3 linked regions of the Alligator mississippiensis genome follow. The protein of the gene in region 2 binds, or shares a complex with, the protein of the main gene of each other region. Links are inferred from orthologs where the notes say so. Each region holds a gene or a part of one and is shown on either strand. Other genes may lie near its edges.

What was found.
Region 1: the proteins of CRHR1 (region 2) and CRH are in contact, whole or in part, in a cryo-EM structure (PDB 6P9X), measured with the Homo sapiens proteins. The link is inferred for Alligator mississippiensis from reciprocal best matches to the Homo sapiens genes CRHR1 and CRH. Residues at the interface, in NP_004373.2 of Homo sapiens: Lys113, Tyr116, His117, Ala119, Val120, Asn123, Trp169, Val172, Gln173, Met176, Ser177, Pro178, His181, Thr192, Tyr195, Asn196, His199, Phe203, Phe260, Gly261, Lys262, Tyr267, Tyr272, Gln273, Met276, Ile277, Leu280, Tyr327, Phe330, Phe331; in NP_000747.1 of Homo sapiens: Glu156, Pro157, Pro158, Ile159, Ser160, Leu161, Asp162, Leu163, Thr164, Phe165, His166, Leu167, Leu168, Arg169, Glu170, Leu172, Met174, Arg176.
Region 3: the proteins of CRHR1 (region 2) and UCN are in contact, whole or in part, in a cryo-EM structure (PDB 6PB0), measured with the Homo sapiens proteins. The link is inferred for Alligator mississippiensis from reciprocal best matches to the Homo sapiens genes CRHR1 and UCN. Residues at the interface, in NP_004373.2 of Homo sapiens: Leu106, Asn107, Glu109, Lys113, His117, Val120, Asn123, Trp169, Val172, Gln173, Ser177, Pro178, His181, Gln182, Thr192, Tyr195, Asn196, His199, Phe203, Phe260, Gly261, Lys262, Pro264, Tyr270, Tyr272, Gln273, Met276, Ile277, Tyr327, Phe330; in NP_003344.1 of Homo sapiens: Asn84, Pro85, Ser86, Leu87, Ser88, Ile89, Asp90, Leu91, Thr92, Phe93, His94, Leu95, Leu96, Arg97, Leu99, Leu100, Glu101, Leu102, Ala103, Arg104, Thr105, Gln106, Gln108, Arg109.

Annotation. Positions count from the first base shown.
Region 1 is NC_081826.1:64,349,839-64,355,779, forward strand, and holds CRH (corticoliberin), read left to right. Parts: upstream 1-4,956; 5' UTR 4,957-4,980; coding exon 4,981-5,415; 3' UTR 5,416-5,416; downstream 5,417-5,941. UniProt on the Homo sapiens protein: Hormone regulating the release of corticotropin from pituitary gland. Induces NLRP6 in intestinal epithelial cells, hence may influence gut microbiota profile.
Region 2 is NC_081827.1:156,223,178-156,230,492, forward strand, and holds the start of CRHR1 (corticotropin-releasing factor receptor 1), read left to right. Parts: upstream 1-4,299; 5' UTR 4,300-4,377; coding exon 4,378-4,428; intron 4,429-7,315.
Region 3 is NC_081824.1:181,990-187,181, forward strand, and holds UCN (urocortin), read left to right. Parts: upstream 1-4,213; 5' UTR 4,214-4,225; coding exon 4,226-4,501; 3' UTR 4,502-4,667; downstream 4,668-5,192. Other genes in the region: protein Mpv17, read left to right, coding at 285-380, 1,608-1,640, 2,074-2,126, 2,736-2,805. UniProt on the Homo sapiens protein: Acts in vitro to stimulate the secretion of adrenocorticotropic hormone (ACTH). Binds with high affinity to CRF receptor types 1, 2-alpha, and 2-beta. Plays a role in the establishment of normal hearing thresholds.

The DNA.
Region 1 (5,941 bases), on a different chromosome or scaffold from region 2:
GCAAGGTGCTGCAGCTAGGGAGAGGGAATCACCAGCACACCTATAGGCTTGGGGATGATCGTCTCAGCAGCACAGCAGCAGAAAGAGATCTCGGAGTTGGGAGATAACTAATGGCAATTGGGATACAGAAAAGGAAACTACTTAGCTGAGGTGAAAGCAAAACTCAAAGGGGTTAAAGCATTCAATCTGGTGTGGGGATGAAGCAGATAAATTCTATCCCAGAATTCAGAGAGATCTGTGCATGAAATCAAGTGTACATTGTTTTGAAAGCCTGGTAAAATTGGGAGTGGTACCATGAGACTGGAAAATAGCAAATGTAGTATCTATGTTTAAAAAGAAGAGAAGGAAGTTATCTAGACAACTACAAGTTCGTTAGTTGGACCTCAATGGTATGTAAAGCTTTAAAACAAGTATTGTTGGGAAGAATAACTGAAGACCTGAATGATAAAATGCAACATGGATTTACCAAAGGTAGCACCAAAGGAGCTAGACTTAGCCAATATCTATCTTTTATTTAAAAAAATACTTTTGAGACAAAAGAAGTACCGTTGATCAAATCTATCTGAATTTCAACAGAACATTTAATATAGTGCCACATGTGAAATTATTATTTAAAACTGAAGTAGTAGGGGATTACCAGAAGAATTGTAAAGTAGATAGGGAATGGGCTAAAGGGATGATGATAATGGGTTATCCTGAAAAACAAAGTATTGGGATATACATAAGTTACTAGTAGGGTTCCCCATGGAGTGGTTTTGGGATTGATCTTTTGGGACATGTTTGTCAATACAAACATGGGTTGGGATATTGCATAGGATGAACTGAATGATCTTGGAAACTGGTGTATTAGAAATGGAATGAAGTGCAAGGTCACACATTTAAGCACTAATACACAGATTTTTAAACTGTTTAGATCTGTTTAGATTTTTTTACATACACTTGGAGCTCATTGATTGGAAGTAACTAAAAAGAATAAAGATGTGGTACACTAGATGATCACAAACTGACTATGAACCACCAATGTAAGGCAACTATGAAAAAGACAAATTCAGTCCAAAGATGTATCAGATGAGACAGTTCCAATAGAGACAGGGAAATCTGAGTGCCATTGTACAAGCTAAGAACTCATCTGGAATTCTGGTCACCCTTCTTCAAGAAAGATGAGCACAAATGGAAGGTCTAGGAAAGGAAATGGAGAGCCTGTCTTACAGAAGGTCACAAAGAGCATTTGGCTTGTTTTAACCAAGGATAGCCAAGCCTCAACTGAGATATGGTTGCTCCTTCTAAATATTTCAAGATAGAAAATACCAGGGAAGAAGACCTGTTTAAGGGGCAATACTATCACAAAAACAAATAGGTATAAACTAGTGATGGATGAGTTTAGGCTGGAATGAAGAAGACTTATAGCCATCAGAGGAGTTAGGGGCTGGAACAAGAGCTTGACCAGTTTATGGAAAAGTTTATATGACATGGTTGCCTGCAGTCAACCTGGGTTGAATGATCCAGGAGTTCCATTTCAGTCTTGTGTTCCTGGATGTATATCTAACTGGAAAATTAAACCATTTCCAAATCAGATATGTTTGATCATTTCATCACTGTTCTTGTTAATGACTCCCTCCCTGCCTTGTTAAATAAGATCCCTAATTCAGAAAAGCACCTGCTTAAGTGCCTTCAACTTGGGGCAAGTTTCCCCTCAGGTATGCACTGAGATCAGTTGAATTCTTCACATAATTTAGCCACTTGTATTTAAGTTTCCTGTAGCCCTACTCTCCCTCAAATGGAGGCTGCAGGAAAGAGATCGCTGGAGATGCCATTCATGTAAATGACATCAGAATTGGACTTGAGATGATTTTATAAAGGAATTTCAGATCCCTCGCCAAGAAAAGCCTGTACCTGTAGGATCATGCAAGGAACTGGGGAAATATTGGTCAATAGCTTTTTTTTTTTTGTAGCCAGTGATCAGTTCTGGGTTTTTTTTTTAAGCTCTCTGCAACAGGCAGGGGTTTCTTTAATATGTTTGTATTGCCCCTTGATATCGCCTGTAATTTCACGAGCTGAAGATGCATTCAGTTTAGAGACTTTCCCGGTAGAGAATCATGTCTCCTTTTCTACCCCGGGGTTGAAGGAACAGAGGTCTGAACCTGATGCCCCGCACGTGCGTGGAGCCCAGCACTGTCCAGTGCTGAAGTGCTTCAACACTGCTCTTGAAGTGACTTGTAGAGGGAGCGTCTTGATTACATCTGACCCCCTGTTACCGTCGTATGCAGTAGCTGCCTAGAGCACGCGATAGATTTTCTGACCTCTTTTTGTCTATTAATCTAACTCGGTAAATTGCTTAACCTCATAAAACAAGGCTGTTCTCACTGGCAGTCCATTACTACAAGCCAAAAGGACGGATCCCCGAGTAAGAGCAGCGCGTCTCCCTTTCTGTCAATCAACTGCAGCAAGTTCAGCGACGTTTCTCTCTCTCCCCAGCCCCTCTTTTTTTGTTATCTGGCCATGAATCTATGCATTCCTCTTTTGTCTTGTGGGTGGGCAGCAGCCCCTCTTTTGCCCGTGCCCGGGCCTGGATCACTAACCTTCCCAAAGAGCCCGCCTGAGTTCTGCTCGCCCGGGTAGGGAAGGCTTGAAGAGCTCCTTTGATTACTGCACAGTAAAACAAGCGAATCATCAAACACAATAGGATCATTTCCATCTAGACAACTGCCAAAAGAGGCAATTGAATGCGTTTTATCAGCCATTCATTCTCGGGGCTTTACATTCTAGGCGGCAAAACCAAGCGCTTGTGGAGCTGTCAACATTTATTGAGCAGGAAAATGCCAGCACGGGGTAGAGAGGAGGCGACTCGGGATATGTTCTGTTTCAACTAGGGAGAAGACAGACAAGGGCAGGGAAGTGCGGAAGTTTCCTATAAATCCCGCTGTCATTCCATGCGGGCTGCACTGACTCACTGTTAATGCAGGGATCCGCACTACACGGGGCAGGGAGACTCGAAAGGCAGGTGCAGCATTTGCCAGTTTTCTGAATGAGCCGTCTGTCTCAGCCTCCTGCCTGCTGCCGGGCTGCCAGTCCCGGGTCGCTTTCATATGCCAGGGCAGTTTCCCTGCTGATGTCCCTGACAGTGAGAGTCCCGGAGCGGCAGCATCACCGTTGCCACTTGCCAGCGAGAACACCAGGACAACTCAGCCCAGCCCCATGTCTCTGGTGTGTCCCAGAGCTGGAAGGGACCAGATGTGTTATCTCCCCAAAGCACAGCACTGCCTCACCAGGGGCATCTCACTTCTGCTCCCAGCGCATCGGCCCCACTAATCTAAGTGGACCCTGTGTTATACCTAAGGGGGGCTGGAGCAGCGAGATCTGCCGGCTGCTCCACGGAGCTTCACATCTCCCACCTCTCCTGTTCAGACACCGGTGGAACAAATTTCAGCCCCTGCTCCTGGCTTTTCCAGGGGCTGGGTTATTTCTTGTGGCTTGCCAGGAATTGGGGTTCTTAGGCGTTTTCACGCTTAGAGCCATCGGAGGAGCGCTGTCTCGGTGGGACGGGGTGTCTTGGGACAAAATCAGCCCGTCCCAAGGCTTGGTGCTAGAGAAAGCTTCGCACCTCCTGCTTACAAGTCGGCTTGGGCTGGGAGCGCCCAGCTCAGGCTGGGACCTGGACTGATCAGGTCCCCGCTCTTAGATGCCCTGAAATGGACCAGGGCTCCTAGAAGGGCTTTTAGATGCCCCGAAATTGACCAGGGCTCTTACATGCCCTTGCCTGGCTCTGGGGCCGGGCGGCAGCCTCCAGAGTCGTGCCCAGGCGGGACTCGAGTGGAAAGTTTTCCCTCGCTTTGACCTTTCATAGTAAGAGGTCGGGCGCTGCTGCCGCTTTTCGCTCCCCTTGGGAAATCTCATTCAAGTATTTTTGTCAATGGGAGAGAGCCCCGCTCCGCTGTCTCTGTCCCGGGGCTGGCTGACGTCACCAACGAGGCGATAAATATCTGTTGATATAATTGGATGTGAGATTCCGGGCTGCGATAGCAAAACTCTGCCCATCGCGGCTCCACGCGGGCCCCCATGATTTATTCAGCAGTGGATCGGGGCACGCAATCGAGCTGTCAAGGAAGCGTCAGCTTATTAGGCAAGTGCTGCGTGATTCCAGAAGAGGGTCTAAGCTATAAAAATCCCGCGTCCAGGCTCTGATTGGGAGAAAAGCTGATCCCAAGTTGGCGAAGAGACGGCTCCGAGCACGAGGGAAAGGAAAGGACCCCTGAAAGCCCCCAAGTGTGGACTGCACCTGTCCTCCTCACCCGCCAGGCCAGCTCTCAGGTAGGCGGAGGTCGGCCCCACCCTGCCCTGGTGCAAGCGGGGCAAGAGCCTGGGCGTGTGTGTTTGCTTATGTGTATGTGCATATATGGGTATGTGCCTGCATGCGTATGTATGTGTATGTGTATATATGTTCATGTGTGTGTTCGCATGTGTATCCGTGTGTTTGCATATGTATGTGTGCATGTGTAGTGCATGCAAGTGTATGTGTATAAGTATGTGTGTATGTTCGTATGTGTATCTGTGTGTGTTTGCATGTGTGTACGTGCATGCATGTGTGTGTATGGATGTATATGTGTGCGTGTGTATACGTGTGTGTGTGTGTGTGTGTGTGTGTGTGTGTGAGAGAGAGAGAGAGAGAGAGAGAGAGGGAGAGCGCGATCTAGGCGATGCCAAGGAGCCCGCAGAGCCAGGCGCTGGGCCGGGGGTTTCCTTTGCCTGCGGACCCTAGGGGCCAGGCCGCCCCGCGTGGTCATGTCCTAGCCCGGGACTTGCCCCGCGGCGGGGCGCGGACCCGCGGCGGGGCGCGGGGGGAGGCTGTGCGGGGGGAAGGCGCGAGCCCCGCGCGTGGGCGGCTGCGGCGGGGCCGGGCCCGGCTTCAGCACCGCGGCCAGCGCCCGGCCCGCCGCCCCCCGCTCCCCTCCCGCGTGTGTGCTGCAGGTCGGGGCGCTGACCATGAGGATCCCGCTGCTGGTGTCCACGGGGATCCTGCTGCTCGCTCTCCTGCCCTGCCGCGACGGCAGAGCTCTGAGCCGCGCCCGGCCGCAGCAGGAGCTACTCCCGCCGCCGCCGCCGCCGCCGCTGGGGCCGGGGCCGGCCGCGCTGCTCCGCCTGGCGGAGGAGTACGTCCTGCGTCTGGGCAGCCCGGGCCGCGGGCCGGCCTCCCCCGCGCCGCCCGCCGCCGCCGGCCCCTGGCTGCGAGCCCCTGCCCCGCGGCCGCAGGCGTTGCCCGAGCGCGGCGCCGCCCGGGAGAAGCGCTCGGACGAGCCGCCCATCTCGCTGGACCTGACTTTCCACCTCCTGCGGGAGGTGCTGGAGATGGCGCGGGCCGAGCAGCTGGCGCAGCAGGCCCACAGCAACAGGAAACTCATGGAGATTATCGGGAAGTGAGCGGCGCCCGCCGGCCCGCGCCCGCCCCGTCCGCGGCGGCTGAGCGCGTCCCGGAGCGCCCGCGGCTGCGGCCCTGGGGCGCCTATTTATATTTGTAATAAAAGCTGCAAAGTGGCTCCGCCTGCCTGGCCTTCCTCCTCCTCCGCGGGCAGCCGGGGGGCGGGGGGCAGCTCCGCGCAGGGCATCGGTGCAGCGCTGCCGCTGGGGCCGGGGCCGGGGCCGGGGCTGGGGTCGGAGCCGGCTCTGGCCCCCCTTGTCCTGCAGACCCCCGGGCTTACTTTACAGACACTACCCTACTGCCGCAACCCACCCCCCGGGCACGGCCCAAGGAGCTTCCTGGCACTGCCTCTGCCTCCAGCTGAGCCCCGATGCAGCCAGGGTCCAGCCCTGCTGTTCTGCCCCAAACGGGCCCGAGAAGGAAGGACTCCTCACCCCACCCCGTGTGTGCCCAGGGGGCAGTGCCCTGACGGCCCCAAGGACGTGGATCGCCCCGCTGGGGCATGGGGCAGCAGGCTGCAAGGAGCTG
Region 2 (7,315 bases):
TCCTTTGTATCATTCCTTTTAATGGAAGTGCCAATATAATATGCTCTTCAGGAACCCAAATAAATAACTTGCATGATGCCAATGAGCCCAAAATATATACAGGAATTACTTTGCTTGTTCCTGAAATGCAACAAACTCTGGAGTGGAACAGAGGTGTTTTATCTGTGCTCAAAAAAACTGAAAGATTTACTCAGAGAGGTGTAGAAAAATTCTGCATCTGGTTGAAAATGCAGACACACAGTCCAGGTAGGTGGCATGTCATTACCCACTTTGGAATCTGACTAGGAAATCATCTTGTCCTGGATATGGGGCCATAGGATCACATGTTTGGTTTCTTTGGGGTTTCAAATAACATCTGTCAAAGCAACTCTTAGCACCTATTTGCTTTCTTGACAGAATGTGAAGACTTCAGGCCTGATTCTCAGGAAATCATCCACCGAAGTCCATGAAACTAGGGTGAGGAGAGTCGAGTTCTATCTACAAGTTTTCCCCAGGCTGCTGCATCTGTGTCTCCCCTACCACCCTATCAACTGTCCCTTTTCTACTAAAATCCTACTGGAAAGTTAGGTAAGAATAGTACCCTTAGACCTAGAGGTAGACAAAGGGGCATGCTGCCTAAAGAGCCTCTAGAGTGCTTAGATTAGCACACACCCCACTGATTTACCTGGCTCTCCCGAAGGGAGGGGAGGGCGAGCTGCCAGCAGGCAGAGCGGTCCCTGTGCTGTGTGTGCATTGGGGAGAGGGCTGGTGCTTCCCTCCACAGCAGGGGTGGCTCCCCGGCTTCCCACCCCCACCAGGTGGCAGTCCCGGGGGGCACCGCAGCCAGGGAGGAAAGCACCAGGCCCCTGCAGCTCAGCCAGGCAGGCGGGCTCCAGGAGTGGGGAAAAAATAAGATCAGGCTCACCGGGCTGCTGCCAGGCTGCCTGCAGGGCTTCCTACAGAGCTGTGGAACTGCATGGAGCCCAGTGCTTTGCTCCATGGTTGTAGGGGCAGCAAACTAAAACTCCTTCGAGGAGTTTTAGTTTGCTGCGCCCCAAGTCATTTAAGGCATATTACACCACCAAATTTCCTACAGCAGCTAGAATTCACGTTCAATACACTGCCGAGGCATGCAAACACCGACACCATTAAAGCGATGCAAAAGCATTTAGCCGGCTTTAAAGTGTTATGCACACACGGCTCCTCCCAGCCCTGGGACTCCTCCTGAACCTCCTCCCAGCTCCTCAGCAGCCCTAGTAGAACAAGAAGCATAGACAGCCACCAGAAGCATAGACAATCCCCAACATTAAGCGTTAAGTTCCTCTCCCTCTAAAAATACCTCTGCTTGAGAGTAGGGAGGAGGAATTGGGACCTCAGGAACCTAGCGCAAAGTTGCAAGAAGTGCAGTCATTTCCTGAGAATTACTAGCCAGGAGAAGAGAATCCAATATCTCCTGGCCCTGAGTGGAGGAGGGGGAAGTTTGGTCCAGCAGGAAGAGTAAAAAGGCAGGCTTGCCAAGTGATCCAGGACTTTGAGAACTGGTGTTCAGCTCTTTGCTGCATGACCTTGGCTCTGGCACCTAGGCTAAGATCCTGCAAAGGAAACAAGGTGCCTAGGTCCTGCTCCACGAGGGAGTTTGGCTTAGTTTCCTTGAGGATCTCAATTTAGTCTCACTGGCCCTCTAGCTATTGCCATGGCAGGACTTCCCGGCCCATGGGGGTGGGAGGCTAATTATGTCATTGGGGAAAGAGGAGTCAAACAGACATCTTGCGCTGTAAGGGGTCCTGGCTCCATACCACGTGCTTTCTGAGATAGCAACTTCCCTTCCCTGTGTTCTGCTCTCCCTTAAGCAAAACCAAGCTGATAATCCTGATGAAAGCTCTTGGGGAGAGCAGTGGTTGAGCCTATCATCAGCAAAGGGCTTAGCAAGCCTCAGGGAATGGGCTGGTACACAGCTGAGCATCGCTCGGGGGTCCCATACAAATCTACGGAGGCACTCACCTGGGCTGAAATGCCTGGAAAGCCATGCGTTAGAGCCTCAGCCTTCGTGTTTGAAAGAGACGAGTTGCTATGGAAATCTAACTGGGGCTGGACAATCAGATTTTAAAAGACGTTGGCAGGACATCATTTTTCCTCAGTTGAAGAGGCAGGAAAAGGGTCAGGGCCTGTGGGCAAGCGTCAGACTATCGGCATGAATAAATCAAAGAGCACTGACCTTCTGTTTACCTGTCAAGAGTCCTTTGCACCCCTGTGTTGTTCCAGATCACAAGGATTGGCAGGAGCAGGATTGGAAAGGATTAGGATCCATCCTGCCCATGCTACATGCTGCCACACAAGACTTTTATCAGAAACAATGCGTTGCATCAAAGACAAAACCCATAGCATCAGGTAGTTGTTGCAACAGGGTGTAGGGGGAGGACTCCCCAGTTTTTGGAGTATAAGGGATTGACTTCAGTTCAATTACACCCACAGTGGAAGTGCTCAGAAGGGAGGTCCGAGTGGTCACTTGCAGTTAGGTGCAGGGCAGGCTGTCCCCCTGCTCAAAGCAACATGACTGAACTAAACCTCCAGGAAGGTTTCCCATTCACTCCTGTGCAGTTTCTGGCACACTTACTCACCTTGACTTCTCATTACTAATTTAAAAAAAAAAAATCTTGCTGACTGGTTGGTTTTCCTCCTGCTGAATCATCCCAGCAGGTACATTTAAAACTGCCTTCCCTGGGGCTGGCTCCTTCAAGCCCAAAGCAATGCTTGTACAAAGTCTGTGTAGTGCCTGCAGGTGTCTGCCCTCTAGCCCTGCACTAGCACAGTGGTGGCAGCATTACTGCAGAAAATCTTAGAGGGCTTTCCTCACCAGGCAGGACAGCCCCAGATCCTAGTAGAGGAGATGCTGCCAGAAGAAAAATGCTACCGTCTAAGGGCCCAAACCTAGCTGTACCACGGCAGGCAGCATCGCCACCCAAGGGGTGCCACAGAGAGCTGGATGGTACCAGGGCAAGGCAGCAATATCTTGGCATAGCAAGGGGCAGCATTAGTACCCACTGCTTGAAGATAATGGAGTCGGGTCTCCCCTCTACCCATTTCTACCGGAAATTACTCAGTCCAAAAGTGCTGGGCAGATGCCTCCATCAGCTTTGTTTCAGAATCAATTTGGGAAATTATAGCAGGCCCAGGAACAGCAGGATTCAGGCGCAGAGACGGCTGGGCACTGACTTCATTCTGTGGGCAAGTGACAGGAGGCACACAGCCAGCACCCCCTGGGCCAGGTGCCCTCTCTGTGCCATGCTGCAGGCACACTTCCCAAGGCCTGCTGGAGAGGCGAGAGGGGCCCAATGGTTTTATAGATTTCATACATTCGAGCTGGAAGGGACCCTGGAGGATCATCGAGTCCAGACCCCTGCCCAAGGGGCAGGAAGTCAGCTAGGGCCAAAGGATCCCAGCAAGATAAGCATGCAAACGTTTCTTAAAAGAGTCCAGGGGAGGTGCTCGCACCACCTCCCGAGGGAGTCTGTTCCAGGCCCCGGGGGCTTGGACCATAAAGAAGTTTTTCCTTATGTCCAGTGTAAAACGGTCTTGGAGGAGTTCACAACCATTACAGCAGGACAGGAGAAAGCCAGGACTCTTGGCTGCGCTGCCCCAATGTATCCCCCCTCCCACTGCCGCAGCTCTTCAGAACGGGAAGGGGCAGCACCTGCCGGGGAGCGGATGTCCACGGCGGGGCTGGACCTCATCCTTGGAGCTCAGAGGGATGTAAAGGGCCTTGGGGACAGGTGATGCCCAGGCCCACCAAGAGGCTGGCAGGTGACCCCCTAGGTGCCTGGGGGCTTGCAACAGGCCTATATAATTCATCAGGGGAGGGCAGCAGGGAATAGGAGACCCGGATGGCCACAAAACCCACGGAGAGCAGCTTTAGCTTGGACATCAGGAAGAACTTCTTCACGGGCAGGGCAGGGTGGCCAGAGTCTGGGATGTGCTCCCAAGGGAGGTGGTGCTCGCCCCGACCTCTTCAAGAGGAGACTGGACAGGCACCTGGCCGGGTCCCGCCCGGGGCAGGGGGGCCGACTCCATGACCTACCAAGGACCCGAACATCTCTGACTGAGAGGGCAGGAGGCTGCGGGGCGGGCTTGCTCCAGGCCAGGGCAGGCAGGAGTCCTGCCGGCTGCCCTGAGGAGGGGCGGGCCGGTCTCGGGCGCTGCCCCAGCGGCTCCCGCCCCCTGCCCGGCCGGCGGCGGGGGCTCGGGGCGCGGGCCGGGGCCGGCGCGGGGCTCGGGGGAGGAGCGGCGCGGGGAGCTGCGCGGCGGCGGCGGCGGCGGGCGGATAAAAGCAGGCGGGGGCCGCGCCGCACCGCTCGTCAGCCCGACCCCTACCTCCGGGAGCGTGGCACGAGAAGCCGCAGGATGGTGCCCTGCACCCGGCCCGGCCTCTTCCTTCTCCTCCTCCTCCTCCAGGTAAGCTGCTCCCCGCGCTGACTTTCTTTCAGGAAGGAGCAAGCCCAGGCCGGGGCAGCCGGTGCGCTCGGCTCCCGGGATGCGCGCCGCCGTGGCCGGGGGCAAGGTCCGGGCGGCTTCTTGCCCTCCCCCGGCCGCCAGAGGAGACGGGCAGCGGGGGCGAGGCCGTCCCAGCTCTCCTGCCCCTGCCCCGCTCCTGTCCTCTCGCCCGGGCAGCCAGGAGAGCGGGCTGGGGGAGTCCTGGCTGCAATGAATGGGCGAGCAAGAGCTCGCAGCACATGACAGTTGGAAGAGACACCTCGTTCAACCCCTTGCCGCAAGCAGGACCGGCCCCAGCTAGATCATCCCACCCAAGTCCAAGTTCAGGTCTTACAAATCTCCGAGACTTGAGCGATTCCCCCCGTGTCTCTGCTCCAGTGCTTTGCTACCTACCCTCCTTGCCAGTCCCGTTGCTACATTCAAAGGCTTTCCGAGGAAAATGCCCTTTGGTTTCAAGTGCTTTGACTGCAACTTGAATCTTCCAGTTCTGTCAGCTGCAAATATCTGCGCTGGTTGGGCAAGGATTGTTTCCCCCCCTCCTGAAAAGTTTAGGGTTTCTGTTGAGAAAATGCACAGAGCCAAGGATTTTGGGGGAGTTGCCAAATACAGGGTCTTACTCAAATGCTGAACACTTTTTTTTTTTTTTTTTTTAAACGAAGGCAGAGATGGGCTTGAAAAATGTTGGCTCTTTGTTTTTAAAAAAATGAGTTGCCAAAGACATGTCAGTTCTGGAAGACTGAAGTGGTACTATCTGCATAGTTAAAATGACAGAAAATGCAGAGGTTCAAGCTCCCTTAGCACCTTTACTACCTTGTGTTTTGCATCTTGCGGGGATGTCTGAGGCTATCCATTTTACAACATGAACAAGAAGCAGCATTTAGCTGCATGTTTTTAACAGAAAAACACGGTAAAAAGCCCTACGTAAGGGCCAGTATTTGCCAGTAAGTGTTAACATTCGTATAACATCGCTTTTGGACGCTTCTTGACTTTGTTTCATTTGTCTTATCTGTTCATTTGTCTTATCTGTGTGGCTGAAATACTGCATTCATGGAGTTTTTCAAAATTAAATTCTATGGTGGTGGTTCTGCTTTCTGTTAATAAAATGATGGAGATTGCTGCTTGTGCATAGGGTATGCATGTCCATAATCTTGTATTTGGACCTTTTGTCTCCATTAAATAGGTGTATCCTTTCCCCATCCCTTCTTCCAAATACTAATTAATTTTGGCCAGAAGCCAGTCCTGCAGAATTTTATCCTGAGCATTTTGTTAAACTGAGATCAGTTAAAAATGGGCATATTAGGTACCAATATTTCTAGTACTGTCTGTGAAAATAGAGATGAGAGGAAACCAAGCTCACTGAGAAAATGATATATCAAGGCACCTCCATATCTAGGGTCTTGGTGGTTATCTGAACTGTACTGCACTTCAGATAACTTCCAATGGGCCACCCTAGACACTAGTTTTCTCTGCCCATTCGAGTGTGCACCTTCCATAGTTGCTATTGGGGATGGCCTCTCTGTGCAGAAAGACCAGGAGCTTGCTACCCTTGCCTAGTGTCTAGGTAGAGTTAACAGTTCTCTATGGTCTTCATGGCAAACCAGGCACATACGGCTGCTTGTGCTGCTCAAGTCTTTGCCAGGTTTGGGAAAAAAATATGTGACCCTCTTGCTCTGCAGCTGGGAGTAGTCTAGAACCACTTCTGATGGGGTCTCCTCAAGAGATACATGCCTGGTGCCACCTCCGTGGACTGAGTTTGAGTTCATCCAGACAAAAAAATACAACTGATACCGAATGACTGTATGACCAGTCTCACCTGCACTAACTAGCCCCACACCAGAAAACATAAAGGAAAGGTAAACACAGGAACAACTTGTAGATTAATTTAACAATTATTTGCTTTTAATTAAAACCTTGCTAGAAGTGCAGATGTTCCTGAGGCTCCATGAAAGCCACTGGGTACTTTCCTAGTACTCCCAGTCTTGCTTGGAAGTCACTCCATTACCATAGGCATAGGTGGCATTGAAGAAAACACAAAGAATGTGTCTGTGTTGTGGTAGGCATCCAGGTTGTAGCCATATTGTTCTAGAGGAAAAGGCAATCAGAACTCGTAGTAGAGATTTATATCTTTTATCACACAAACAAGATTTTTGCAAAAAAAAATTCTTTAATTGCAAGCTTTCGGGCACAAACACCATTCATCAGGCATTGGAGAAAAAACTGTAAAAGTTCTCTTGGGTAGAAATTAAAGTTCATATTTCATAGAGGACTCCATAGATGGAAAACTCCTCTGGGCAGTCAGTTCATAGCTGGTATGAAGCCTCTCGCCTCCTGTGAGGATCTGCAATGATGCAAATTACCTTGAAACAAAGGCTCAGGTTTCAGGTGGTCACAGTGGCTTCCTGCTTGGGAAAAGATGAAGATTTCATTTTTTATTTTTTTTTAATTGGCTAAAATTTGATATCTGTGTGTCGTATCCAGGTTGTAGCCATATTGGTCTAGAGGAAAAGGCAATCAGGACTCGTAGTAGAGATTATATGTTTTATAGATGAAATCTATATTTTTATATAATAGAGATGATATATAATATAGATTTTATCTATAAAACATCATCTGTACTGTAAGTCTTGATTGTCTATATTGTGGTTGCATCAACAGCTGCATGGCATGTGGTCACACACCCAGCTAGATTGAGAGGAGCTAACTCGGGTCCCTATCACAGTGTATGCACAGAAGCAAATTTCTCATCGTGAACTAATTTATCCCCCTTCCTGCATGAGTTTTGCAGTCTGCGTTAAGCTCTGTGCTGCTGTAGCTCGAATGTTACTGGTAACCAAGCCAGTTTAAAGCA
Region 3 (5,192 bases), on a different chromosome or scaffold from region 2:
TGGTCCCATGGGTGAGGGTGCATCAGGCACTGCTGTTGAACTGCCTCTCCCAAAACCACTTCTGTGATGGCTCAGGCCTCAGGGCCCCCAAAACCAGTGCAAGCAACTCTGCTAGGGCTGATGAGCCACATGTGCTTAGCCTGAGGCAGCCTGGACCCATCCCCTCACTCCCCCCACTGCAGTGCTCCACGGATCCCCATTACCCGTCTGCAGGGGGTGGGGCCAGGGCACAGGGATGCTCTGGGCCAGCCCTGCCCTGTGGCACTCACCCACTTCCTCCACAGGCTGGCTTCGCCCCGATCTTCCTCGGCAGCTTCCTTGCCGTCGCCGGTGCGGTCAACAGTCTGTCTGCAAAAGAGAACTGGGAAAAGATCCAGCGAGTGAGTCCCTGGGGCTGTGCTGGGGGCAAAGGGCTGGGCCCAGCCCCTTTTCATTCAGTCCCACAGGTGCTGAGGCAGAGTGGCCGCAGTGCCCTGTCCATCCCTGTCCTCTGTAGAGGCAGCCTGACCACTGCAGGGTCTTTCCCTGACCTTGGCAATGCGGACTAGGAGGCCCCGTCCCCATAGTGCAGGGAAGGCCCCAGTGGGGGTAATGGGGAGGCTCAGCAGGGGCATCCCTTGGCCCCATAGCAGCAGGGACAGGTACTGGGCATTGGTCCCATGGGTGAGGGTGCGCCAGGCACTGCTATTGGCTGCCTCTGCCAAAGCCATTAGTGTGATGGCTCAGGCCTCCAGGTCTCCCAAAACCAACGCAAGCGGCTGAGTCAGTGAGTCTGGGTGTGATTCACGGCGGGAACAGGTGACCCTGGTGTGAGTCATAGGGCCAACAGTGTCTGTCCTTCCTGGCATGGCGGGAGAGTGGGTCTCCCTGCCTGCGCCCTACAGCCCAGCACCCCCCAGTGGAGTGGACTGCCCCCAACCTGCCCTGCCAGGACAGCATCCCCCCTTGGCTGCTGCAGCAGGCAGGCAATGGACATCAGCGCCCTGGCTGGCTGCAGGCTAGCGAGCACAGCTGCCCAGGGCACTTGTCCACTGAGAGCTGTGGGCAGAGTCCCCATGTCCCCAGGGGGGCCTGCCACTCCTACAGGCACTCGTTGGCAGAGTGGGGGAGCTGAGGTCCTGCCTGCTGCACAGAGCAGCCAAACCTGCAGGCAGATGGCCTGCCTCGCATAGGGGTTGCAGGGCCAGGGCGGTCCATCTTTACCCTCTGCCCTGGGGCATGACCCTCTGGGGCTGGGCTGTGCTGGGCTGGACAGGGGACTTCAGGGCAGGGCATCCCCCGCACCCAGGTCTAATCATGGCCCCCAGGTGCCAGGTACTTGGGAATGACCCGTTCCTGCCCATGGCTCTTACACCCCCATCCAGAATCCAGACCTGGGTACCGAGAGCTGGGGGCTTGGCCCACACAGCACAGGGGGTGGGGAGCGCTTTGCTTGCCACAGGCTGTGTGGCAGCTGCAGCCACATCTTAAGCAGCCATTCATTGGGGGCCATAGCAGGAGCCCTCATCCCCCACATGACCTCTGCAGGCCCCTGGCCTTGGGCCCAAGGGGGGCAGGGCTTGCCCAAGGGGCCACGTGAGCACTGACCAGCCCTTCTCTGCCTGCAGGACTATGCTGATACCCTTGTCACCAACTACTATGTAAGTGCCTGGGGGAGGGGAGGGGGGTTGCGCCCAGGTGATCATGGAACAAGTGCTTAGATCTGCACAGCAGGAGACTGAAAGCTGTGCCCCCACTGATGCACGCTGGTTTCCAGTGGGCTGGCAGTGCACCCCCTGCGCTGTCACATGCAAGGCCCAGCCCACCTTGGGGCTCATGCTTAGGCAGCCAGAACTCCCCACCCGCCCTGGCCCCCAGTGGGCCTCCTGCCCACTGCCCCTATCACTGGACTCCCAGCAGAAGCTTGCAGTGGGCTTTACCCAAATCCGGTGGGGGGTCCAGGGAGGTGGGGTAGGAGCCAGTGCTGGGGTGGGGGAAATGGGCAGGAGGGGAAGGGTATGTGGCGGCAGCCCTGCCCTGCCCCAGGTAGGGTGAAGGCCTCTGTACTCCTCACCCGCTATGCCTGTCTCCCAGATCTGGCCGGCAGTGCAGGTTGCCAACTTCTACTTCATCCCCCTGAACTACAGGTATGAGCAGGTCACACTGCACCCTCCCCCTGCTGGTCCAGCACCCTCCTAGCCCAGGTGCCTTCCCCTTCCTGCACCCCCTGGCCCTGTCCAGGCCTCCAGGCAGAACAACCCCCACACATCCAGCTCCCCTACCCAGCCCAAAGACCCCAGCATGCCTTGTACCCCGTGCAAGTCCCCCCACAACTGCCCCTCCTTCTACTGGCCCAGCACTTCCCAGTTGCCCCTGTGCCCCTGGCCTCCGGCACTATGACCCTGTCATAGTGCTGTTGCTCCTTGGACCCCCCAAACCATGCCCCAAGCCCTGTGCTCTAGCCTACATGGGGGGAGGGTGGTGTCCTGGCACCTACTGTACCCCCTCCTGCCCCTGCCCCAGGGAGATGTTACATCCTGAGAGTGGGGGTGGCTTGGGCTTGTCCCACTGGGAGCCTGGACTGTTGCCTGGGCTGGGGAGAGGGACCCTGACCCTTGGAACATCAGGGCAGGAGTCTGGACCCTTCCCCACCAGCTCCCCTCCCTGCATGGGCTGGCTTCCCCAGGACCCCAGTTTGCTGATCTGACACAGGACTGCCCTACTCTGACCTCTTGGTCCCTCTTGTCTGCCCTCAGGCTAGCCGTGGTGCAGTGCGTTGCCATCATCTGGAACTCCTACCTCTCCTGGAAGGCGAACCAGCCATGAGCCCCCAACACATCCCACATGGCTGCCCATGCTTCTCCGGTGACCCCATGGCCTGGGTCCCGCTCCCTCTCCCACCATGCTGTGCTGGTCCTCAGGGGTCGTCCACAGCATGGAAGGGGCTGGGAGCCCCATCGCAGGTCCACCCCAGCCAGACTCATCAAAGAGGCAGCACAGGGCCCAAGGTGTGGCACCACGACTGCCCCAGCACAGGCCTGGCCCCAGCCCTGACTGAGCCCAAATCATGCTGTGGAGGGAGCTGTGCTGCCCCACCCGCCCCTCCATCCCTCTATGCAGGGCTATGCTGAGACAGCCCCACTGGGGACAATAAAATGTGGTGGATGAGTGCTGGGTTCCTGTCCCTGTGTCCACCCTGGGAGTGTCATGAACCGTATGCAGAACCTGCAGTGAAGGGGCTGGGTGCTGCCAAGGCTTTTGGAGACCTGGTCCCCTTCAGCTCCAGGCACCATGCACAGGGGGACACGGCGGGTCCAAGCAGGTGTCCCACTCCCTGTTCCAGCTGACATGGCACTGCAAGACAGGGCTCAGGGCATCGCAGCTGGGGCGCGGGTGGCCGTGGGAGTCCCTTCTTCCGTGCCTGCTGCGGACCACTGGGCGGGTGTCCAGCACCGCACCCCGCGCAGCCCCAGTCGTGGGGGGGGACAGGGGGGCACCCAGGCCAGGCGTGGGGTGGAGCTGTGCTGGCCGGGGTGGGGCCGGGCCGAGAGGGGATGGGGGGTGGTGGAGGCCGCGCTTCGCACACTTCAGCACCGCGGACAGCGGAGAGCGCCGGGGCCGGGGCGGGGCGGGGCGGGGTCAGTACGGAGGGGTGCAGGGGCCTACGGGGGCATCTCCTCGAGGCCGCCGCCCCCGGGCGCTGCCCTTCCTGCGCCCCCGGGGCCCCGACAGCCACGTGGAACGGCTCATAGGGCGCAGGGCAAAGCCTGCCCCTGCGCCCGGGGAGGGGGTCCCCGGCGGCAGCGCCCGGCCACGCCCGGCCGGACCCCGGGCTCCCGCCACCGCTCGACTCCGCGGCCGTCCCGCACTGACGTCAACGGGAGCTCCCGGCGCTATAAAAGCCTCCCGCCCGTCGCCGCCCCGCGCCGCGCCGCATCCCCGCCGCCGGCCGGACCCGCTCCGCGCTCCAGGTCTCCAGGTAGGGTCGGCCGGAGCGGCGCGGGAGGGGCGGGCTGGGCTGCGGCTCCCGGGGCAGCGGCACCGAGTCCCGGCGCCCGGCGGGGAGCTTGCGGGGCTGGGCGCCCCGGCGGGAGGCGGGGGGCGAGAGTCAGCCACTCGGTGTCCCGTGCCCTGCGCCCGCCGGGCAACTTCAGGTGGGGCCTGGGGCCGCCGCTCCGGGAAGCTGCCCGCCACCCGCCTGCTGCGCCTAACGCCGCCGTGTCCGCAGGTCCCGGCCGTCCCCAGCATGAGGCAGGCACTGCTGGCGCTGCTGTTGCCGTCGCTGCTGCTGCTGCTGGCGCTGCTGCCCCCCGACGGCGCTGCCCATGGGGACTCGGGCCGGGAGCGGGAGCCGGGGCCAGGGCCAGGGCCAGGGCCTGGGCGGACGCGGCGCGAGGAGCCGCCGCTCTCCATCGACCTGACCTTCCACCTGCTGCGGCACATGTTGCGCCTGGCGCGGACGCAGAGCCAGCGCGCCCAGGCCGAGCAGAACCGCCTGGTCCTCGACGCCGTCGGCAAGTAGCGGCGCCGCCCGGCCTACAGGGCCCACGCACAGCGAGGGGACGTGCCCGCCGCCCGCAGCGTCCCGGGAGCGGGGCCCGCGCCCCTTGCCTCCCCCGCGCCGGGGCCGGGGCTGGGCTGGAGCCGCGGAGACGCCGCGATTTTCTAATAAAACGTGTTGGAAACCCCCCGTGTCTGGAAGTCTGCGTGGGGTGGGCGCAGTGCTGGGGCCGGGCCGTGGGGGCGAGGATTAGGCGGCGCGGGACGAGGAGCCGCGGTCCGAGTACGACCCCCCGCCGGGCAGCAGCGCGGGCGGGGCCTGGACTTTGCGCGGCTCGGGTGTGTCACTGCCTTCCCTGCCTCTGCCGCGCCGCGCTGCTCCTCACTGGACGGGAAGGGGTTAAGCGGGCACCGCAGCGCCCCGCAACTGGCGGGGGGGGGACAAGAGGGACTGAGGCCGCAGGGGCTCCCCCCCGTCCCAGGCTGCGTGAGTCACCGCGTGCGGGGCAGGCGGGGGCAGCGGCGGGGGCAGGCGGGCGCTAATTGCGGGCAGCGCCCGCGCTCGGGGCTGTTTGCTCAGCGCGCGGCGGTAATTGTCTGCGGAGGCGGCCGGGAGCAGCCGGGCTGCGTGCGGGGTGGGCCGGGGCGGAGCGGGGCGGCCCAACCCATCCCAGCGGTCCGGGAGGAGGGAGCGGCGGGCGGGCAGGACGCGG